3 linked regions of the Arabidopsis thaliana genome follow. The protein of the gene in region 1 interacts with the protein of each later gene in a pairwise test. Each region holds a gene or a part of one and is shown on either strand. Other genes may lie near its edges.

What was found.
Region 2: the proteins of CDC48B (region 1) and ATG8F interact in a two-hybrid assay, tested with the Arabidopsis thaliana proteins (one large-scale study listed by BioGRID).
Region 3: the proteins of CDC48B (region 1) and AT2G18860 interact in a two-hybrid assay, tested with the Arabidopsis thaliana proteins (one large-scale study listed by BioGRID).

What each region holds. Positions count from the first base shown.
Region 1 is NC_003071.7:1,114,364-1,121,564, reverse strand, and holds CDC48B (cell division cycle 48B), read right to left. Parts: upstream 4,081-7,201; 5' UTR 3,971-4,080; coding exon 3,809-3,970; intron 3,731-3,808; coding exon 3,686-3,730; intron 3,589-3,685; coding exon 3,533-3,588; intron 3,435-3,532; coding exon 3,285-3,434; intron 3,199-3,284; coding exon 3,094-3,198; intron 3,003-3,093; coding exon 2,903-3,002; intron 2,825-2,902; coding exon 2,558-2,824; intron 2,472-2,557; coding exon 2,302-2,471; intron 2,197-2,301; coding exon 2,068-2,196; intron 1,990-2,067; coding exon 1,899-1,989; coding exon of another isoform or gene 1,881-1,898; exon of another isoform or gene 1,819-1,880; coding exon 1,741-1,818; intron 1,663-1,740; coding exon 1,204-1,662; 3' UTR 1,107-1,203; downstream 1-1,106. Other genes in the region: SPR1 (spiral1), read right to left, coding at 1-167; AT2G03667 (Asparagine synthase family protein), read right to left, coding at 4,284-4,391, 4,507-4,563, 4,659-4,775, 4,864-4,963, 5,047-5,246, 5,330-5,423, 5,505-5,610, 5,690-5,786 and 5 more. UniProt on the Arabidopsis thaliana protein: Probably functions in cell division and growth processes. Interacts with certain SNAREs as part of specialized membrane fusion events where vesicles from the same organelle fuse (homotypic fusion).
Region 2 is NC_003075.7:9,303,736-9,310,321, forward strand, and holds ATG8F (Ubiquitin-like superfamily protein), read right to left. Parts: upstream 4,804-6,586; 5' UTR 4,611-4,803; exon of another isoform or gene 4,390-4,610; 5' UTR 4,379-4,389; coding exon 4,342-4,378; intron 4,248-4,341; coding exon 4,192-4,247; exon of another isoform or gene 3,755-4,191; coding exon of another isoform or gene 3,662-3,754; coding exon 3,609-3,661; intron 3,518-3,608; coding exon 3,399-3,517; intron 3,248-3,398; coding exon 3,147-3,247; 3' UTR 2,604-3,146; downstream 1-2,603. Other genes in the region: AT4G16510 (YbaK/aminoacyl-tRNA synthetase-associated domain-containing protein), read left to right, coding at 997-1,134; RGF6 (root meristem growth factor), read right to left, coding at 1,651-2,094. UniProt on the Arabidopsis thaliana protein: Ubiquitin-like modifier involved in autophagosomes formation. May mediate the delivery of the autophagosomes to the vacuole via the microtubule cytoskeleton.
Region 3 is NC_003071.7:8,160,781-8,167,227, reverse strand, and holds AT2G18860 (Syntaxin/t-SNARE family protein), read right to left. Parts: upstream 3,287-6,447; 5' UTR 2,871-3,286; coding exon 2,788-2,870; intron 2,668-2,787; coding exon 2,577-2,667; intron 2,487-2,576; coding exon 1,896-2,486; coding exon of another isoform or gene 1,869-1,895; exon of another isoform or gene 1,825-1,868; coding exon 1,725-1,824; intron 1,604-1,724; coding exon 1,578-1,603; 3' UTR 1,222-1,577; downstream 1-1,221. Other genes in the region: AT2G18850 (SET domain-containing protein), read right to left, coding at 3,749-3,884, 3,973-4,073, 4,166-4,338, 4,418-4,607, 4,693-4,887, 4,975-5,051, 5,138-5,270, 5,357-5,475 and 4 more.

The sequences.
Region 1 (7,201 bases):
GTCGTGAGTGCGGTTGCAGTCACAGCTGTTACTGGTGGTGCAGGTCCGTTGTTAGACTCAGTAGGAGCGGGACGAGGAGCTGGAACTGGCTTAGGAGCAGGAGCGTCACCACCAAAGAGATAATCCAATGAGCTTTGACCTCCACCACAGCTGTTTCCACGACCCATTGTATAAAATAAAACCTAGCACAACAAACCAAAACACCGAAATATAATAAGAAACTATAACTTGCCAACATTCAGAGATGATAGATTCAGAGCTGAACAAAGTGAAGACTCAATTCAATTGTGAATGCTGCTTAAAATTCACAATCAGAATAGTAGCAACGTCAATTATACAAAACCACATATGCTAACGCAAAATCTTCACCTCAAAGTTCACATTTCTCGAAGAACGTCGGGAGAATTAGACGACGAAACCTAGTTTTTAGCCAATTTTCAAAATAGTGGAACAAGAGTGAAGACTGAATCAGATCTAAAACCATTGAAATCGAATCACCATTTCTAAATTCCTGAATCTACAAAATCCGTAGAAACCAAATCTCCAAAAATTGAGGATAAAAACACCATAATTCGAAGCATGATCGAGGAATCAAAACATAGGAATCTACGATCTAACTTCGTCTAAGACATCAGAGAAACGAAATCAAAGCGATCTGGAGGAATTTTAGGGGTTAAGAAACAAACCTTTTGGTGATTCGCGATCAGATCTAGAAGAAGAAACTCAAGGAGAAGAAGTAAAACGCAGACTCGGAGCTGACTAACTGAGTCATCAGCGAGCCACTCTATTTATAAGCTCAGACCGGTTTTTGTTAGTGTCAGGGTTCCGGTTTAATTGAAATCAAAACGATTTCAAATTTTTTGATTAATAAGACAAAATAAAATTCACATCTTTCAGCTAAATTCCAAAACCGGTTTATGAAGAAATATCAGATAATTATTGTTGATTTGGATTAGAACACGTAAAAAGTAATTAATTAGTAAGAGATAACCAGTGAAATTATTGGTGCTTAAAGAAATTTCACGACGGTGGTGAGGTTCGTGGGCCATTCATGTGTAATGGCCAATCTTTGTCATTGTTCGAATCTAATAATCATTAGCCGTTTTATTATTTAAAAATTTGAACTTTGAAACAAAAGATATTTTGGTATTTATGAATAAAACAAAATTAGCAACTTTTTTTAACTTTGAGCTGTTTCAAGTCTCATGTAGCAGAAGCTACTAGTAATTCATGTTTAGTGTGGTTGAAGTAATAGTTTCCAGTAGCAAGCAACAATAAGCTCAAAACACCTAATTGCCATGAGAATCCGAAGACGGTGGAAGTCGCCTTCTTTTTGTTAATCGGAATCGGTTTCGAATCAGATCTTTTCGCCGCCTTCCTGAATGATGAATAAGTTTCGACTTCTTCGATTGTTAACGCTGGTTTAAGCGAGCTTTTTGCGGTTTGGAAATGGCGATTGAAGACAGCGGTTGCTGCGATGTTTTCTCTAAGTGAGACAGTTCCGCTTTCTCTGCATAGACCCTCGAGCTCGGCACCTGTGAAGAGATCGGTTTCTTCAGCGATTTTTCTGAGATCAACGTCGTCTCCTAGTGTCATGTTGCGTGTATGCACTTGCAGTATTTCAAACCGGGCTTCTAGATCAGGCGGTGGCACGTATAGCACCTAAATCAAGAAGAGGGTAGCAATGAGGTTTGCTATTTCAGAACTCGTGTGATCAAAAGATCCAATATGAGGACTTACGAGATCAAATCGACCAGGTCGCATTAGAGCAGCATCAATTGCATACGGGCGGTTTGTGGCAGCCAAGACGAGGATTCCCTTAAACCAAAACCCGATCAATATCATTGCAACCCAATAACAAAGATAAAATCTTTAAAAGCCTATGAGCTTTTGTTTACCTTTGCTTCTTCAAGACCGTCCATTTCGGTTAACAGTGTAGATAGAAGCCTTTCTCCAACTGTAGAACTATTGCTTGAGCTCTCATCACCTCTACGAAGACCCAAGGAAATAAACATGTTAAGAAGAGTCTATAACACGAAGCAAGAGTTGGGAGAGATAGAGACAAACCTTTTACAGGCAACGACATCAGCTTCATCAAAGAATATTATACTTGGAGAAGCAAGTCGAGCTCTTTGAAATGTATTCCGCAATAATGCTTCACCTTCTCCAACATACATAGAAAATAGCTCCGCACAGCTGCATCGCACACCCACACAAAGACACAAGAAAAAATAAGTTTCTTTAAACAAGTTTCACAACCAAAGGGGGATTTTGTTAAATGTGATCTATCAAAATCTATACCTTAAGGAAAAGAAGGAGGCTTGAGCAGCATTTGCAGCGGCTTTAGCAAGAGTTGTCTTTGAGCAACCTGGAGGACCATGTAGAAGTATCCCACGCATTGGCGATATGCCCATTTTTACAAATGCAGCTGAATGTTTGATTGGCCATTCAACAGCTTGCTGGAGCTTTTTCTGTCACAAGGAAAAAAAAACCATTAATCGCAATGGAGAAAACAGGACAACAAAGTGCAAAATGAATATTTTTAAAAAGTATTGACCTTTAAGTCTTTAAGACCACCAACATCGTCCCATGTCACTTTAGGGATTTCAACTGTGATGCCTCTGTTTATACTTGGACCAACCACAGATTTTGCAATCTTGAAGTCTTGAGATGTTAGAATAAGAGAATCTGAAGATCTTTTACTTGCAGATATTGTCGCTTCACGACATAAAGCTTCCAAATCTGCTCCAACATAACCGTTGCAAGATATTGCAATGGCTTGAAGATCGACACTAGGATCTAAATTGACTTTCTTTGTGTACAGCTGAAAAAAATAGAAAACATGAAGATCACAAACAAACTTACTATATACGAAAATCCCATTTAAGAACTCGATAATTACCTGCAGGATTTTTAAACGATCCTCCTCATTTGGTGTGCTCACTTCAACTAAAGCATCAAATCGTCCCGCTCTTCTTAGCGCTGGGTCAATCGCATCCACCCTTTTGACAAGATCGGGGAAAACCATTGGATCATTGCATTCAAAACCAATGTTGATAATCAACTTATATTATGCTTAAGGTAGACAAGAACCTATTTGTGGATGCTACAACAACAACTCTTGGTGCAGATGATGAAGGCTTGTTTGAGTCCATAAGTGTAAACAGTTGAGAAGCAATACGAACATCTTGTTCTCGTCTGCATTTTAAAGAGAACAAGATTATTCTCAATCTCTTAAAGATCTCTCTGAAGATAGCAACTATAAACTAGGGGTGAAGCAATACCTAGCATCACGACGAGGACAAAGAACATCGATTTCATCAATAAAAATCACAGAAGGCTTGTCTGAAACAGCGTGAGAAGAAGCCTCAGCGAAAGCTTCCCTTAAGACTTTCTCGCTTTCTCCAGCATGTGCTCGATGTACAGAATGAGGGCTAAACAGAGTATTTGACAAACAAAGACAAATCATAAATTAGCTTTAGCCTCTATTACTCCAAAGCATAAACTATACAGAAGCTACATAACAAAGTACCTTAAAACAATCAAATGTGCATCACATTCCTGGACAACAGCACGGACCAAGCTTGTCTACAAAAACCAAAATTTCAATACAAGAGCGGTCGAATTAGCTTCTGCAAGATCAAAGTTTTTTGAAAAATCCAACAAACAGAAACAGAGTTTTTACCTTGCCGGTTCCAGGAGGACCGTAGAGAAGCAATCCTCTAGGCCACTGCAATGATAAGTCAAATTAAGCAAATTAAGCGAAAGAGAGAAGCTATGAGTCCAACAGAGGTGTGGATATATGTACTTTGAGACCAAGAGTTCGAGCTTCGAGAGGGTAACGAAAAGGGAAGATAATGAGTTCTCGAAGCGCTTGCAGAGCTCTCTCGTTGCCACCAATTTCAGCTTCCGCTCGCCATTTCTCATTGCCGGCGATGTTGTCGCAGACACTGCTTTCGGTTTCCAACATGAAGAACCAAACTTTGGGGAACAACAAGTTATTGGCTTTACAGGGGTTTATGCGCCGGAGCACAGAGATCACCACCGGAGGAGAAAATTGATTTTAGACAATAATGTTAGGGCTTTTGTTTTTCTTGTGATTTTTCCAATTTTACCCTTGAAATTGAGCAAAATACCGAACCAAGTGGTTTAAGTCTTAACATGTCCTCTTATTAGTCCATTTGTGTTCAGTGTTCAAACCAGTTTTGAGATCATTGAAAGAATGTCTCTTTGTATAGGATACAATGTATAACAATGATTGATCTAACATGAATCAGAGGGAATTAGTGTGACGGTGCTAGGAATCTCACGCTCCCGGCAGAAGCCTGGTTTGCGGCACGGTTACTTCCAAAATTCTTCCGGTTTGATTCACGAGCGATTCTTGATCCAAACTAAAACCACAACCAAAGTCCAAAGCAACAGTGAGAGAGAGAGAGCTCACAACAAAAAGATTTCAACTTTACTCGTTTGAAACTGAGTTCTCTCAGAAAGTTCTCTTCTTCTTACCTGAATTGCTCTCTTAGGCATCTTTGCAACTTCATGTACACCAAGCAGGCTTGCAACCTTCAAGATTTTACGCAACAATTCAGGTTTATGAAGTTTCTGGAATGTTCTTGAGGCATTCTTACAGTAAAAATGGTATCTTTTTAATTACTCACCTGTCTAAGAATCTTCTTGTCTCCCGTTCCACTTGGTTGCTCAAGATCAGCGATTTCCCACAAGGGAATGTCAAGGAGAGTCTTTATCACATCTTCATCTAAGAACGGGAATCGCCCCTGAACAAGTAACGTTTAAGATTTAAGAACAAAGCACAAAGAATAAACTTTTTTTTTGAGTTTGTGGTTGTGGCGTGATGACATATACCTCTTTACCGTTATCTGCAATGCATCGATCATCTCGACCCAAATTTCTTTTCCAAATTCTCTGCATATCTAATTTCATTTCTTGATCCAACGCAACCCAACTGGAAAAATGAATAAAACTTGTGCGATGAGGTTAACATTAGTTTACATCCATAAGAAATGTATACATAAATGAATCATATACCTTCCATTTCGATATTTAGTTCTGTGCCTACCGTAACCGGCACATTGCTCATCAGCACCAGCGCCAACAAGCAGGATTCTAGCATCGGACTTATACTTGACCCGCTGGTTATTTTCCTCTACACTTGGATTTCCATTATCTTCGTGAATCCAACCATCACCACGAGCAGCTAACCATAATGCTGTTCCTATGTTAAGGTCCTAGAACATAGCAAAAAAAGATTGAATAATTCACATCAAGTTCGGAGGAATGTAATCACAATGCTCAAGACTTTGAGGTTTACCATGTAAGTGTCTGCAGGATTTATGAGTGACATAACACGTTTTGTCTCAAAGCCTAGTTTTGACAGATCAGCATCAATCTCAACAAGTTTCCACCTGAAAATTCCAAAAACATTTGTATCAACATAGATAGTAACAGATATATGCATTTTTCATAAAAGGCTTTTGAAGTTCAACCTTCTAAAAGGTGCAATCTTTTTGAGTTCCTTTATTCCAGCCTTGGCGGAGATCCTATCAGGAGCATTAGGACCATCAAAACTGACATTAAGGAGATCAACTTCATCTGAAGAAATAGATATTACTTCTTTTGATTAGTTTCAGAATTGTTGGCCGAGACAGAAACAGTGTGGGGGAATGGTTACATTTTGGATCAAGGCACTGATGCAACAGCGCAGCAAGAATCATCGAATCCAATCCACCAGAGAAAAGAACAGCTACTGGGACAGCTTCTTTATCTCCCTGTTTATGCCAATACGAAGGTGTTCAGAAGAAAACACATAGCTTCAGAGAAAAAACAAGTTTAAGCTCATACCTGATAAATGCTATGAAGTGAAGTTCGCCGCCTCACTGATTCCTTTAACACGACCAAAACTGTCTGCGCAAATCCTAAAGCTAAACCTTGTCAGACATGTTGAGATTTGGACAGGACTGGAGGAATCAAACGATTCTTAAGCAGTACCTAGAGAAGTTGACACAGATTTGTCTTCCTGAACTCCACTAAGCGATGACGTTGATAGATCTTCAGGTCTAGGTACAACTAATTTCCTTTCCCATTCAATCAATTCTTTCCAGATGGTATTTCTCCATTCGTGTTTTGTAACTTCACCATGAATACATAATTCTGAAACCCCAAAAGAAATACTGTACACGCCACATGGAAGCTCTTCCCAATATCTATGAAGGCTATTACCATTTTCAGTATCCAATCCTGCAAAAGAACAGATGTTACTTGAGCTTGGAGTGTACATAAAGAGACAAAATTGCTCTACTAAGTAATACAAACCAGCACCTTGAGAAACTGAAGAAGCTGGTGAAACAGACGATAGAAGAAAACGAGGGTCTTCCACAGTTGGCGAGTGAACAAGAAGGCTCCTCCGACCAAACGGATCTTTACCAAACCATAACGTTCTCGAGCTTTCCTGATAGAGAAAAATGCTCTTAGAGAAAGTAAAAAAAAATGCTACATAAACAAATAGCAGCAGGTTACCAAATTACCTGCCAATATATAATGGCCCAGGGACCTTTAATCATCGAAAGAACATCTGGAACTAAAGATTTTGCTTTCTCTAAAGACTTCAAAAGCACTTCAGTATCATTATCATAGCTGTTGAGTTCAATTCCACCAAATACTTCGCCTGTACGGAAAATATACAAATCAATATCGTATAGTGTAAGAGAAAACATATGATAATCAAAAAACCTTAAGAATAACACCACACCATTGTAAGCTAGAATGTTCCCAGAAGAATCCACCAATGGTTGCCTTATAGGACTAGTTCCTCTAAGCTGTAATGTAGAACCAATAAAATGCAATTCACCCAAAGAAGTAGTCTCCTCAAGCTTATAAGTTCCTTCACTAGTCTCAACAACAGAGAGAGTAGCAGATTCTTGACCACAATTTGGTCGAAGATGAATAGTCTTTTCTCCTACACTATCAGGACCTCTTTGGCTTAAGACAGCTTTAACATCTTCAACAGAGACTTGTAACTGGTTTAAACCAAGAAAACACACCAAATTAGCTCATCTATGAACAACCAAATTCACTCTCATCTCAATACATTACCATTATCCATCGATAAAAACTCAAAAGTGTAAGTCTTTCTTTCTATATAAGAACAAACTCGATTAAAGATTCAAGCTTTACCAATGATGCT
Region 2 (6,586 bases), on another chromosome or scaffold:
TGATAGGTTTAAAAATCTTTGTTTGATTGAAGCTGGCCAACTTTTCTACATCATGCATTATTGACATGTTTTGGGCGTGCTTGCTCAATGCTGCTCTACACTATTAATTACATATTAGACATAGGAGTAGTATGAGAGGAACCTCTACCCACTTATGTTTTCTTCTCCTAGACAAACAGTTTCGTGTTGTATTTTGTATTGAGAAATATTTACAGAGAGTTTTCCCTTTCATACACATGTTCTTGCCAAGCGTTTTGCAGACACTATAGTTTATTGTCCTGTCCTAGAGGCCCGGAAGGTTCCAGTGCCTAATGAGTTACACAGCTAGGTTTGGCCTTGTTTTGTTTCTCTTAGTCTGTACAGGAGGGTGTGGTGCATTATAACACAATTTGAATTGGTACAGAGCAGAAGTTAAGAGTTTCCGTGTGAGCCAGCTGCTGATTGTCCCACTCATTGTCTTTAGTACTTTCCCCGTTGATAGTAAAAAATTAGAACCTCCGTTTTTACAGTTCAATACCTTCTTTGCATTACAAGTGCGAGAGTTAGTAATTGGTGTCAGTCAGAGAGACTTAAATGGCGTTATTTTTGGTCTGTGTATATATAATCTTAGGCACGTACCCTACTGCATTGATGTGTTTATCTTCCTTTCCTTATCCGGAATTGGCCCACTTCAGACAACACACTATTTGTGCTACTGTGACACATGAGTCTTTCAATATCATCTTTAGACCTCAGTAATTAAGTAAATGAGTTTCCCTTTAGGGTAATTAGTTAGGTTGCTTATGCTCTCATGATGAATTACTTGATCTCAATTGGATATGTGCAGATTGACTTGGTATTTCGAAGTATTCATTCATAGTGGAGATATGGAGTTTAGTATTAATTCATGTTTAGAGTTTCCATGGCATATTCAGACTAATCGTGCTTTGAATTGAAATAAACTTTCGATATATTGATACTGACGAGTTGGATGGGGGGGGCTTTGGGAAATGTCAGGTTATATTGGATGAGGCTATAACCAAACTTAAACCGGATTTCTTCTGGTTGGGTGGTGGAGAAATCGATCTGAAGCTCGGTGTCAGAACATCCGAATTCCTTGAATTTGTGAAACCATTCATTGTTCCTTGCAGTTGAAATCAGGAATATGTATAACACTATTTTTATCACCCTGTTATGAAATGTTAGGCTTAGCTTTAAGATTTTAGCTTCAATGAAGGTTTTTATCTCTTATACACATTGGTATTCTTTGTAATGATACTTTTGTTACGTGCTACTTGGAGCTAAAATGGCGGCAAAGAGATCTATTTGAGTCTACATGTCGATTATTCTAGATTGGTTATTGTTGATTTAGCTTCAGGCTCGGTTTAGTTTCTGTATTTAAGATCTCTTGTACATTCAAAGCTTAATGAAGAATTTTCACAATTCTGTTTCTCAAATGTTGAAAATCTTTTATGCAATACCCATAAGAAACAGAGTAATTAATAGGAAGCACCTTGTTTGTTGTATACGAGGAGAAATAGAGAACAAAGAAGTTGGTCATGAATATATATAGAGATAGCACAAGAGTCATTACAACCACCAACATGGTGAATGCATATGCATATAACAGTATGATATATTTAGAGAGACTGGTATATATGGATCGGGTAATTAAGACTTCTCGTTGTGGATCGGAGGCTTACGATGAGGCTGAGGATAATCCATGACTACTACTTCTTCCCCTGTCTCGACTCCACCCAACGCCCGCCTCCTTTCTCCACCATTGAAGACGTCCAAAGAAGCAACCTTGTGATGATGATGCTTATGTGACCTTAAACGACGAGCGGCAGAGGCACATCCAACATTGGAAGACAAAAGCAGAAGAATGAAACAGAACACTATCACGAGTCCACTCCTCAAAGAGCAAGACATGACTTCTCTTATTCTTCTTCTTGTTCTTGAGATACTTGTGTATATATGCTGTGTCTGTATACAGGGAGATGAGACTAGAGCAGGACAAAGAAAGTTTGAAATGTTGTTAATTGGTGTAAGAGAAGAGAAGAGGGAAGGAGAGTATTTGTAGGCAGAAGAGAGTAAAGAGAGTAAGACAAGCATTAAATACAGGTGGGGGGAGGGGTCCTTCATTATCATAACATGCTCTTGTTCCTCTTCTCTTTTATTTCTTTTTAATCTTCTCTCTTGTCTATTATTCAAATATATTTTACATTCAACATACATATCTATCGTATGTATATGGGTGTCTTGATCGGCCAAACCTTTTGTCTACTTGAGAGTCTTCGTGGGGTCATCATCTCCTGCATTCTCATTTTCCTTTCTTCCATTTGCTCACCTTATTCTCCGGTTCTTCACCTTTTTCATCCACGCCATTATTGTATGACCGACGTGTTTACTCTCTTAAGTCCTAATCGATCACCTTCTTATCACTACACTATTTGACATTGATTTCTTTGGACAAAACACTCACAAGTTATGAAAAGCTTTTACATTCAACTTTCACTTCAATGGTCCAAAATCCCAAAAACACAACCGCGTCTCTCATGTTCCACGTGACCGGTTGGAACCTTGAATTACAATCTTTGACGATCATAAATCGAGCTAAAACTGTGAACAAATAAATATATGAAACAAAAATCAATATTGAAAAGTGTAAGATGAGAAACAAGCCAGCATGGTCCGACCGTCTCCTCCTTCTCTCCGTCAACGACAATGTGGGACCTTTATAAGATCGTCGCCGGCCAACCTTCAACCGGTACCGACCATGTCTGCCACGTGGCACAGTTCCCTTGTGCTTGCACTTCTATTGAGTTTGGTGATATAACTTCTCTTCACTTAGGCTTTGCAATTTGGAACTGTCATGGCCCATGTGCCATAAGCGACGTGTTATGTCGGCTTATAGATTGAAGACATCAAAAAAAACACAACAAAGTCAAGAGGGAGATGTGATAGATTCACCTAAAGTAGGTTTTTAGATCCTTGAAAGAAGATTATATACATTATTTTATGTTTTCTGTACATATTAACGCCCGACCAAAGGTCCTTAGAGAATAAGTACATAGGTGGCTTGCTTGCTTAGTAATTAATAAGAAGATGAAATATTTGGTGAAAATAGAGAGGAGTAAAATGAAATATCCAGCAAGAGGTCTCTATTATGGAGATCCAAATCCAAATGTGTTTTCTCCGCTGTAAGTGACATAGAGGAACCCATCATCATCCTTTTTCTCTTCGTACACAGAAGACATGAGCGCACCTGCAAAGTTACCAGATCAGATCAGCCAAATATAAAGAATTTATAATCACCGGGGAACATATAAGTAGACGCCTTCTTATGCTCTTGTTACTTGTGTTAAAAGATAATGAAACTCCTGAGTCTTGAATACAGAGGAGATCTATCTGTTTACCTGCTGGAGGAAGAACATTGTCCACGAATATGAAGATAGCCTTTTCTGCACTCAATTTGATTCTTTTGCGAATGACATACACAAACTGCCCCACAGTCAGATCAGCCGGGACTAGGTACCTGCAAATTTGAAAAAAGCTTAGTTATCAATCACTATTATTAACAAGTCAGGTCCGAATGAAAAGGATACTGATGCCATTTATATGCTTACTTTTTCTTGTCGATGGTTGGTATATCACTCTTCTCAGCCTTCTCAACAATCACCTGGATCCCACAAAAATATAAATGCGTGGAAATCATCATCTCAAGTGTCATTTTTACCATGTGAATCATAAAGCACGTAGCCACATGAATCATGCAAATCTACTTATCTAAGCCGTAAGTACTCAGTAAGAATCGAGTTTCAGAAAGTCACGTTCCAAAAAATGACAACTAAATTCAAAGTCCTAATGTTGTTATAGTCACTATAACTCAATCAACTCCATGTAGTTGAAACAGTGGCAAACATATATCACAAGCATGAAGCTAATCAAACAATAATAACTTGATAACCATCCTTTAGTCGGGTAGGGTGTCCATTTAAAACCAGATGCTATCCCAATAAGTTCATTATATCCCAATAAGTTCATTACTACCATATTGCTGGGCCATAAACCACAACAACTTAACCTGCATAAACTCAGTCAAACACAAAAGATTGATCCGAACATAGAAAGGGAAACAATATGCTAATCACATATAACTTTAGAAATGTATGATCGATCAATGTATAAGAGAGACACTGAAAGTCTCACCGGAATCCTATCAGGATACTTCTCTCTAATCCTAGCAGCCTCTGCCCTTCTCTTCTCTGAAGATTTAGGAAACAGGATCATTAGATCAAAGCACAAGGTTTTGATTTCGAGGACCAAACAGTAAAGCAAGAACAAAGCTCAAATCCAAACCTAAGTCATGCTCTTGCTTGAACGAGCTTTTTGCCATTCCTTCCACGCCTACACACACATAACAAATAGGTGACACCAATCAGACAACCATCAAAACAAATTTAACACTCAAATCAAATCATCAATTCCCAAACTCTGGAACTCAGATTATCAAAATTCCCACAAATCTATCAGTCGATCATGTTAAAGACCCAACCTTTAAGTAATCTAAACGAAAGTACAGGATCGCAATCAAACCAAAAAAGAAGTTAAGAACTCAGTGATCAAACCTGTAGACTACAAAGAACGAAGCTTTTCTGCGATCAAACACTTCTCCAGAGCACAACGCTATCGTTGAAGATAACAACAACAATTAACGAAAAAATATGAAAGAAAAAGCAAATAAGCAACCTACAAAAATTCTGCAAAACATTAAAAAATTATGCGATAAGGTCAGAGATTCTCTACAGATGGTGTATGGTAACATCTAAACACTTCAGCTGACGTTGTATGCTTAATCTGTTCAGTGAGAATCTGACGGTAGATATTAGCTATTTACTGAAATAGGAATCTCAACCGTCCATTTTACTGAAGGTGTACGAGGTAACTGTCTACGTAGATATTGCCTCCAACAAAGGATAAAGAAGAACCGGATATGCTGGGATCACGTTTCTGCATACGATATGACACGTTTACCCCTAGAAAATGTGTGTTAGGTGAAGAGTTCGGAAGGGTAATAGTTGGAAATTGAGAATGTCGCTTATAAGCTTTGCCTCTTCTAACAAAATGTAGGGCCTAGTGCAGTAATGGGCCTTGCAAATAAACGGATGGAAATATGAAAACTAATAAATAAAGTATAGGCAGAAGTTTTTTTATGACTGTTATAGAGATCTGGAGATGTAGGTCTTGGTGTATGGACAGCTTAGGATTTCAAGCTTAGGCATTTCGAAATCAAGGGTTGAAAGCAATTACTGTATTTGAGAATATATCTTCAACACTGCACAAAACTCATTTTGTAATTTATTAAAATACCGGAATTGAGTGATTAATGTCAAAACCGAGAATTTACAGGATAACAAAGATAATTAATCAAAATGAATCTTTTATCAAAGTAAGATAAGTTTTCTAACAAGTTTTTTACTTATAGATATAAAATATTATAGTTGTGAAAAGACATAAACATTTTTAAAAGTTAAGATTGAGTTTTCTGAAGTTGAAAAAAAAATCAAAATTATTTTTTAATCATTATCCAAAATCATTACTTAATCCAAACCGATGCCCACCCTAATTATTTAACTATATTAATAAGGTTTGTAAGCAATAGTATATAAAAAGCTAAAAAAAATATAAGGGTATCTCACTACGTATGACACTTATCAAGTTTGTTAGAGCATATGGGGCACATATGTGGGAGTATGCACTTTTTCATGTTTATTTCACTGCACTTTTTCATGTTTATTTCACTGTTTCAAAACAATCAATACAATTATATCCTTACTCTCGTAACCTCAGGTCAAATAGCATGGTTAAGAAATGCCTTTGACGAATGATTTAGCTGTGCAGCAATATATAGTACTTTGAACTGCTCTAATGGGAGTGGATTGTGGATTTTCCTTTCTTCTGTTTCTTAATCTTGACATTAGATTTCCACTCCACCCCATCTTCGTCTAGTACCTTATAAGTCGTTCCAGCAATGTAGAAGGTGACTTTCTTCTCTTCAAGGTACCTCACAAAACGTTTAGCAAACTCAATGGGTGTTGAATGGCTTTTGTACTTTGATAAAAGACTCACAGCAATCTCCTAGTTAGGCTTGAAAATCAAAGTCTTGACAACTCGTTATGCCTCATCAATCACTTTTCCTCTAGCCAAGCCGTCTAAATATGTCCCCATTATTTCAATAGTTGGTTCTATCCATAGAGTCTTGACTATCCTTGCAAGAAGATAATGCCCATACTCAGTTTGTCGAGCATGTGTACAAGTTACCATCACGTTCCAAAATGTTGAGTGAGTTTTGATCAAGGTGGAAGGAATGTTCTCAAAGACTTGGATTGCTTTGAAGCATTCACTATTTGTGCCTAAGGTTGATATAAATGCATTCCACATACCTATACATGTAGCTCCAGATTTACCGCATTCATGAAAGAGTTTTTCTGTTAAGAAGAGTTTCAAACTCCAACTCTTAAGATTGGAGAGATATATTAGTCACATGGTAACTTTGTTAAGGAAAACAAAAACTCAAATATTTTTAAAATTTGTTAATCAAATA
Region 3 (6,447 bases), 7.0 Mb from region 1:
TGCAAAAATGATATGATGGCAGTCTGGCAGAATATAGTGTTGATTAAAAACTGTGTTAACAAAGTGGTATTTATTTAAAACACATGTCAAGTTTAAGAACATGGTTTAGCTTCAATTTGAGTTGAAGATCAAGGTTTGACAATTAGATGAGAATTGTGGTTATGGTAAATAAAGGGAAGCAAAGAAGATTAAGTGCTAGAAAACTCTGTTAAAAAAAATCTTTATCATTCCATTTTATTTTTAATTTAAATTTATTTATAAATTTATTAAATGGATATATCTCATTAATCAGTTTAAGTATTATATACAGTAGAACCTCAAAAAATTAATAAATTTTTCCAGTCACGAGTTAGGACTAATGTAAAAAGTGACACAAATCGATAAATCAATAAGATAATAATTTTTTTGAAAGTTCTATGTAAATATATGGTCCCATCAATATCATAAGTTAATAATTATATAAATGTATCAATTATATATATATATATATTATGTATAAAAATTCTTTAAAATAGATTTATAATAATTTTTTGCTTAAATTCATATTTGTTCTTTGTTTGACTATAATTTTCATATTTTACTGTATTAAAACTTTTGGTGTTATTATGTTTTATACATTATTATTATGTTTTATTTGTAACTTGTTTTAGAAAGATATTTTCTATAATGAAAGAAATCTTATAAAAATTTGTAAAAAATTACTAAATTTGGAAAAATCTCTCTATAAATTAATAAAATATTAATTTATCAATAAATTAATACCTCTTTAAATTAATAAAATTTTGTAGTCCCAACGTTATTAATTTATAGAGGTTTTACTGTATAATATAGCATACAAACGTTTATTTGAGTATATTATTATTTGAAATCCAATTTCTGAGTTAGGTATAATAATCTCTTAAATTATAAAATCATACTAATTATTTATGATAAGTTTATATAAATTTACTGTCTTTAAAATATAAAATATTGAAAGGATTCTATAGAAAAGATGTAAATTTTATCATAACAAAGACGTTTATTTTATTTAAAAAGTAAAATTTATTATATTTTTTTGTGAGTGTACAAGGCAGATTCTACTGCATAATCAATGGAGGTGACTGAGAGATGTATGTAAACTGTTTTTTTTTTGTACTAACAAAACTTGGACCTTCTTTGGTCATAAAGTTAGAGGCCCAATATAAAGTTAGGGACAAAATCCAAGTACCAAGATTCCAAGTTGTTGGTTTAGAGAGCAAACTCTTTTGAAATGTAGTTAAGAAATTGTTCATAAAAACATGGCATAAATCTTGATTCTTATGGCATTGTATTGTCAAACATCTACGAAACGAATATTGCATTTACATCTTTATCAACGGTAGCCAAAGCCGTAATATAAACTCTAATCCCTTTACTTAATCTTACACGTTTCAATGTTTCTATACGTTCCCTGAAGAACCAAAGCAACAAGTTAAAAGTAACATATGTAAAGCTTTTTAATCTCTGTTTGTTCTTGTGGGATTATGAATCCTAACCATTAGACGCGAAAGCTGATCTCTTTAGCAGCTTCTTGACAGTTTCGAACCGTGGTAAAATTCTCAAGACAAATACACTACGAAGGGTACTGCATCGGTTTAAACAGGGGAAAAAGCAATGCTCGTTAGCAATATTAACAAGCTCAAGACCAAAATCTATATATTTAGCAAAGTATTGATTCATTAAGAAAAAAAACTGAAGTGACTCACATAGTAGAAACACCATTAGCAATAAGGAAACAATAAACTTGATCGGGTGATTAAACGGTAAGCGTATCGGATTTTGAAAGCAACCGGTCTTGTCAAAGAGCTGAAAAAAACACTGAACAAGTAAGTTACTTCCTCCTACCATGACTAAAGCTTATATATCAACACACTCACCTGATTATGATCAGGAAGTCTCTGCATCCACAATACAGACTTAGTTCCTTTAACTTTAGGCGTCGCTTCTATTTGTGCCACCAATGTCTCCTTTTCTTCTTCATTATCACCACCAGGAACTATAATTCTCAAAGAATTGAAATTTGGTGAACTCCATATTCTTCTCAGCCCAACTGATTTCTCTGCTTGGCCAGGTGTCACTCTTTCTTCAATGTCTATGACACACTCAGAGCCATCACCATAAACTTTAGCTTTCTTGAATGTTACTTTAGCTGAAACTTCCATAACGTTTTCAACTAGAGAACTATTAGTAGACTCTCTCGACTTGATGCTGCTCTCACCACTAAAACTCTGTGAAGTTCGAGAAGATCCAGAGAGAAACATTGCTAAGTCATCACGCTCTTCTTCATTAAGATCAACCCAACGGAGAGGCTTTTTCCCATTTTCACTATAAGCTTCTTGCAGAGAAGTTTCTACGCGATGAATCTGGTTTTCAATAGCGGTAACAAACTGTTTATGCCGTGTGGATGAAGAATCATTATCCCCACACCGTTTATGACTCAATCTCACTGCCTTCTCAAACTCCTCCAACTGATTCAACACAGTTTCAAAACTTTTCAAGAACTAGACAAGAACAAGAACACAACTAAACCAGAAATGTTTCAAGAAACATTATTGTACCTGCCATTTAGCTGTACCTAAAGCTGCTTGAAGTTCCTTACAAATCTCATCTTTCTTCTCTCTAATCCACAATCTATAAGCAGACTCCATTCTAAAATCCAAGTAAAGAACAATAGCAAATTAAACACATCTCAATCTCTTAATTTATGCAAGATCAAAAGCTAAGCTCAAAGAAGAGATTACAAGATCAAAATCTAACAAGAAACCATACATATCTGTAGATTTTTGAACCTCTTCAGCTGCAGAGAAGAAAACATCTTTTTGCCATAGATCAAAGCTGTTCACTACCATCATCTTCTTCTTCTTCAGGAGCTATCCACAAAACAGAGTCAAAGAGAATCAAAAGAAGCTTTTACGAGCAAGAGAATCGAAATTTTTCTCGAACTCTTTGTTTCAGCTTTTTTTTTGTGTTCTGTTCCCACTTTCTATAAATCTTATTTATTTTCTTGTCAGTGTCACACCAACTTGTGTCTATTATAGAAACGTGGCTGATTATTACTCGGAGACATAGGATATTAGTATGCTCTTTGGTGCATGAGATTATAGCTCTGTGTTAAGAAGCTGGAAAACGACAAGAATGTAACCTGGAAGATGGGGTCCGCCAATTTGCTGCCACCAGCAGCCACATCAACTTTTTCATTCTTTTTTATTATTTGTTATGTTTCCCATTTGAGATTACTTTTATAATATGCTCAAAATACTGATAATTCTCTATGCCCACAAAAAATATGAGAAAATATAGTATTAGTCAAATGTTAATGAATCTGATTACTCATTTTGCATTCAGAAAGTAATGACAAATGATGGAGACACCACTATTAGGGTACCATGCGTGATGCATTTGCAAAAAAAAGAGTATTCGGTTAATTTGTCTAGGGTTAGTCGCACACGTACGTACGTACGTAAGTACATAAATTTATAAATTCTAATGAGATTATATAAAGAGGTGTCTAATGAGATTACGTGGATATGAAGCAATTATATAAGCAAGAAAAAAAGAGGTGTCTAATGAGATTAAACAGAGGAAGTATGTAACTAAAATGTAACTAAAATGTAACTAAAATTGAACTAAAGTCTTTTAACTCACACAATTTAACTTTGTCAAGAAGATACATTTCATAATACAGTATAAGCTGAATCCAAGATCAGGTTCTCATCTCATTCTACCTTAGCTAAACCGGTGGGTTAGTTATGGATTCTTGAACTAGTTTGATACCTGCAGAACATGAATCAAGAATGGATGAGACAATCTTTCTCTGCCGCTCTTTGAACTCCATCGCTAGTTTAACATCCCAATCCGCGTTTTCTCTGTAAAAGTGTAAAACCAGACGGATTACTAAGTAATTGGTCACTCTGTTTCAGCTTTTGTATATCATGACAAGACAACTACTGATACCTGTCGATAGAATCTGCATCGCCAAGATTTTGCATCATGTCGTCGAATGTGGATTGGAGATTCTCAAGTACTCCTATCTCAACTTCCAAGTTCTTCCATAACTTAAAAGAATCAAGAAATGAGAAAAATATCTTAAGTGTTAGATTCATAGAGATATAGATGTAGTTATACGAAGGTGATGAAGAATATATACATCTGTTTCAGAATGATGAACAAGACCATGAGCTTTGCGCAAGTAGTTCAACAATGGAGTAGGCAAGCCGTAGTGGAAGATGTTGTGATTACTCGATAGCCAAGTCCCGCGTAACATGTGAGTTGTCCAAGAAAACTCGGTCTCGATGTCTTCATCATCAATGACATCAAAATCTGCAAGGAAGAGATACAACTTAAAGCAAAAAAAGCATGTAAGCCTGAGTGATCTCAGAATGAGGTAAGGTTAAACTACCTAAGGGAATGACATCATACGGGTTATCCCCTTTTGGTAGAAATCCGTAAAATGTTAACAGATGCGAACTAGAGTAGTTTCCGTAGCTAAGAAAACATTGTTCCCCTTTGTTGCAAGGCCTTGAGACTGGGAACTTCAAGGAACTCGTCTCAATGTCTACTTTTCCATATTTCACTATGTGTGGGTATATCTGCAAAACCCGCCAAATTATCATATTCCGGATAGTGATAGGAATTACTTAGTATACCAGAGGCAGAACGAGAGAAGACACATACAGAATGGTTGAGAAAACCGGCGACAGGAATCAAGCAAGTCTTCAGCTTTCCATCTGGGAATTTGATTTGCATGCTATTTGAGTAATACAACTCACAAGCCCATAAGTAATGTTCCCATGTATAGAGCTCCGGTGGAAATACTTCCCGGTGGTTCGATAAAAGAGGAATCAATTCATCATACCTCTCACGCAAAAGCTGCAGATATACAAACAATTGCCAATGGAATCAAGAACATAATACAAATCACAGAACCAAAAGATAAGAGATGGGATCAAGTCACACCTCTTTAGCTTGCATTATTTCATCTAAAAGCAATGTACCATCAAGCTCCATGATTGCATCAACCCCAAAACTCAAACCTGCAATGAGAGAATCAATGTTTGTTGTCTCTTTGAAACAAACACTGCTACAAGAATTGAATATTTAGTTCTCCAAACAATTTTACCGGTACAAAAATTCTCTTGCAGAGAGTCAAAGTATGGTTTGAATTTCGAGTCCAGGTTATGCTTTTCCCTCATGGTCCATAAGAGCAGCATTGTCTCAGATGTAATGCCATCAAACGTCTCCAATATTGGGTACTGAAGACAAGAGAACACTCATCATATAGCATTGCTATGATGAAACTGACGCAATCTTTAAATCAGGATGAACTCAAATGATATACCATGTCGGAGTTGTACACATACTCCTCCGAAATGATACTTGAGACTGGAATCTCTAAAGCAACATCGCCAAATTTCAAGTCTTCGCTAGCTATAGCTCCTCGTCCATAGCCATCAATTTCTATCCAAATTTATAAAACACATTGTCATAAACTTAAATCTCTGTTGATAACTTCATAACAGAAAAAAACCGTTAAGCTTACGAGCTATCTGCAATTTGGTTTTGACTCCATTGTCCTGACCCCATTCTACTAATTTGCTTTCCTTTTCGCATCTATAGCTATCAACAACTCTAGCTTTCTCCTTTTCAGCTCCAACAACCTCATTGATTCTACCTTTTAAAGCAGCTCGTAGAGCTTCAAAGGTATCAACTTGTGTTTGCATCTTACAAGAAACCGGTATAAGCGAAAGGATCCAGCTGAGAGCTGAGATTTCGTTTCTAACACTGTAAATTCCTGCAGGAGTGCAAGCATCCTCACCAAAGTAAACTTCCACCTGCATTTCACTCAATCCATCATCTAAGCAACTTCACATGCATTACAATGGCCTACGATGTTTGCTTACCTTATCGAGATTAACTATTCGTCCAAAATGAAGCAACTTTTCCAATGCAGCATTCAACAGTTGTTGAGATAATGATCCACTGAGGTTCAATGTTTCCTTTACGCATAAACCTTTGCAACTCAAGAACTTCTACAGACACAAAATCATAAGAAAATTCATTTTCATAAAAACTCAAACAAAACATGAGAAAAACTAAACAGTGTAATATTTTAAGACTTTGGCACATGAAAAATCTGATCTTTAGACTATAAGGCAAAAAAAAAGCTAATGGCTTTGAGTATTGAGATAACAGAAGAGCAGAGAAATTAGGAAATTGAACCTTTTTGTGGTGATAAAAGGGATCATCTTTGGGAAGTTCTACACATAAATCACCAGTCTCTGACATGATATTCAAAGCACCAACCTTACAATAACCAGCAACAAGATTAAACTCGCTACGACAAAAAACACACTAAACCAAGTCTATTACAAAAGCAATAAGATTAATAAGGGTCTAAAGGAAAGGAATTTGAAGATTACCATCGAAGGA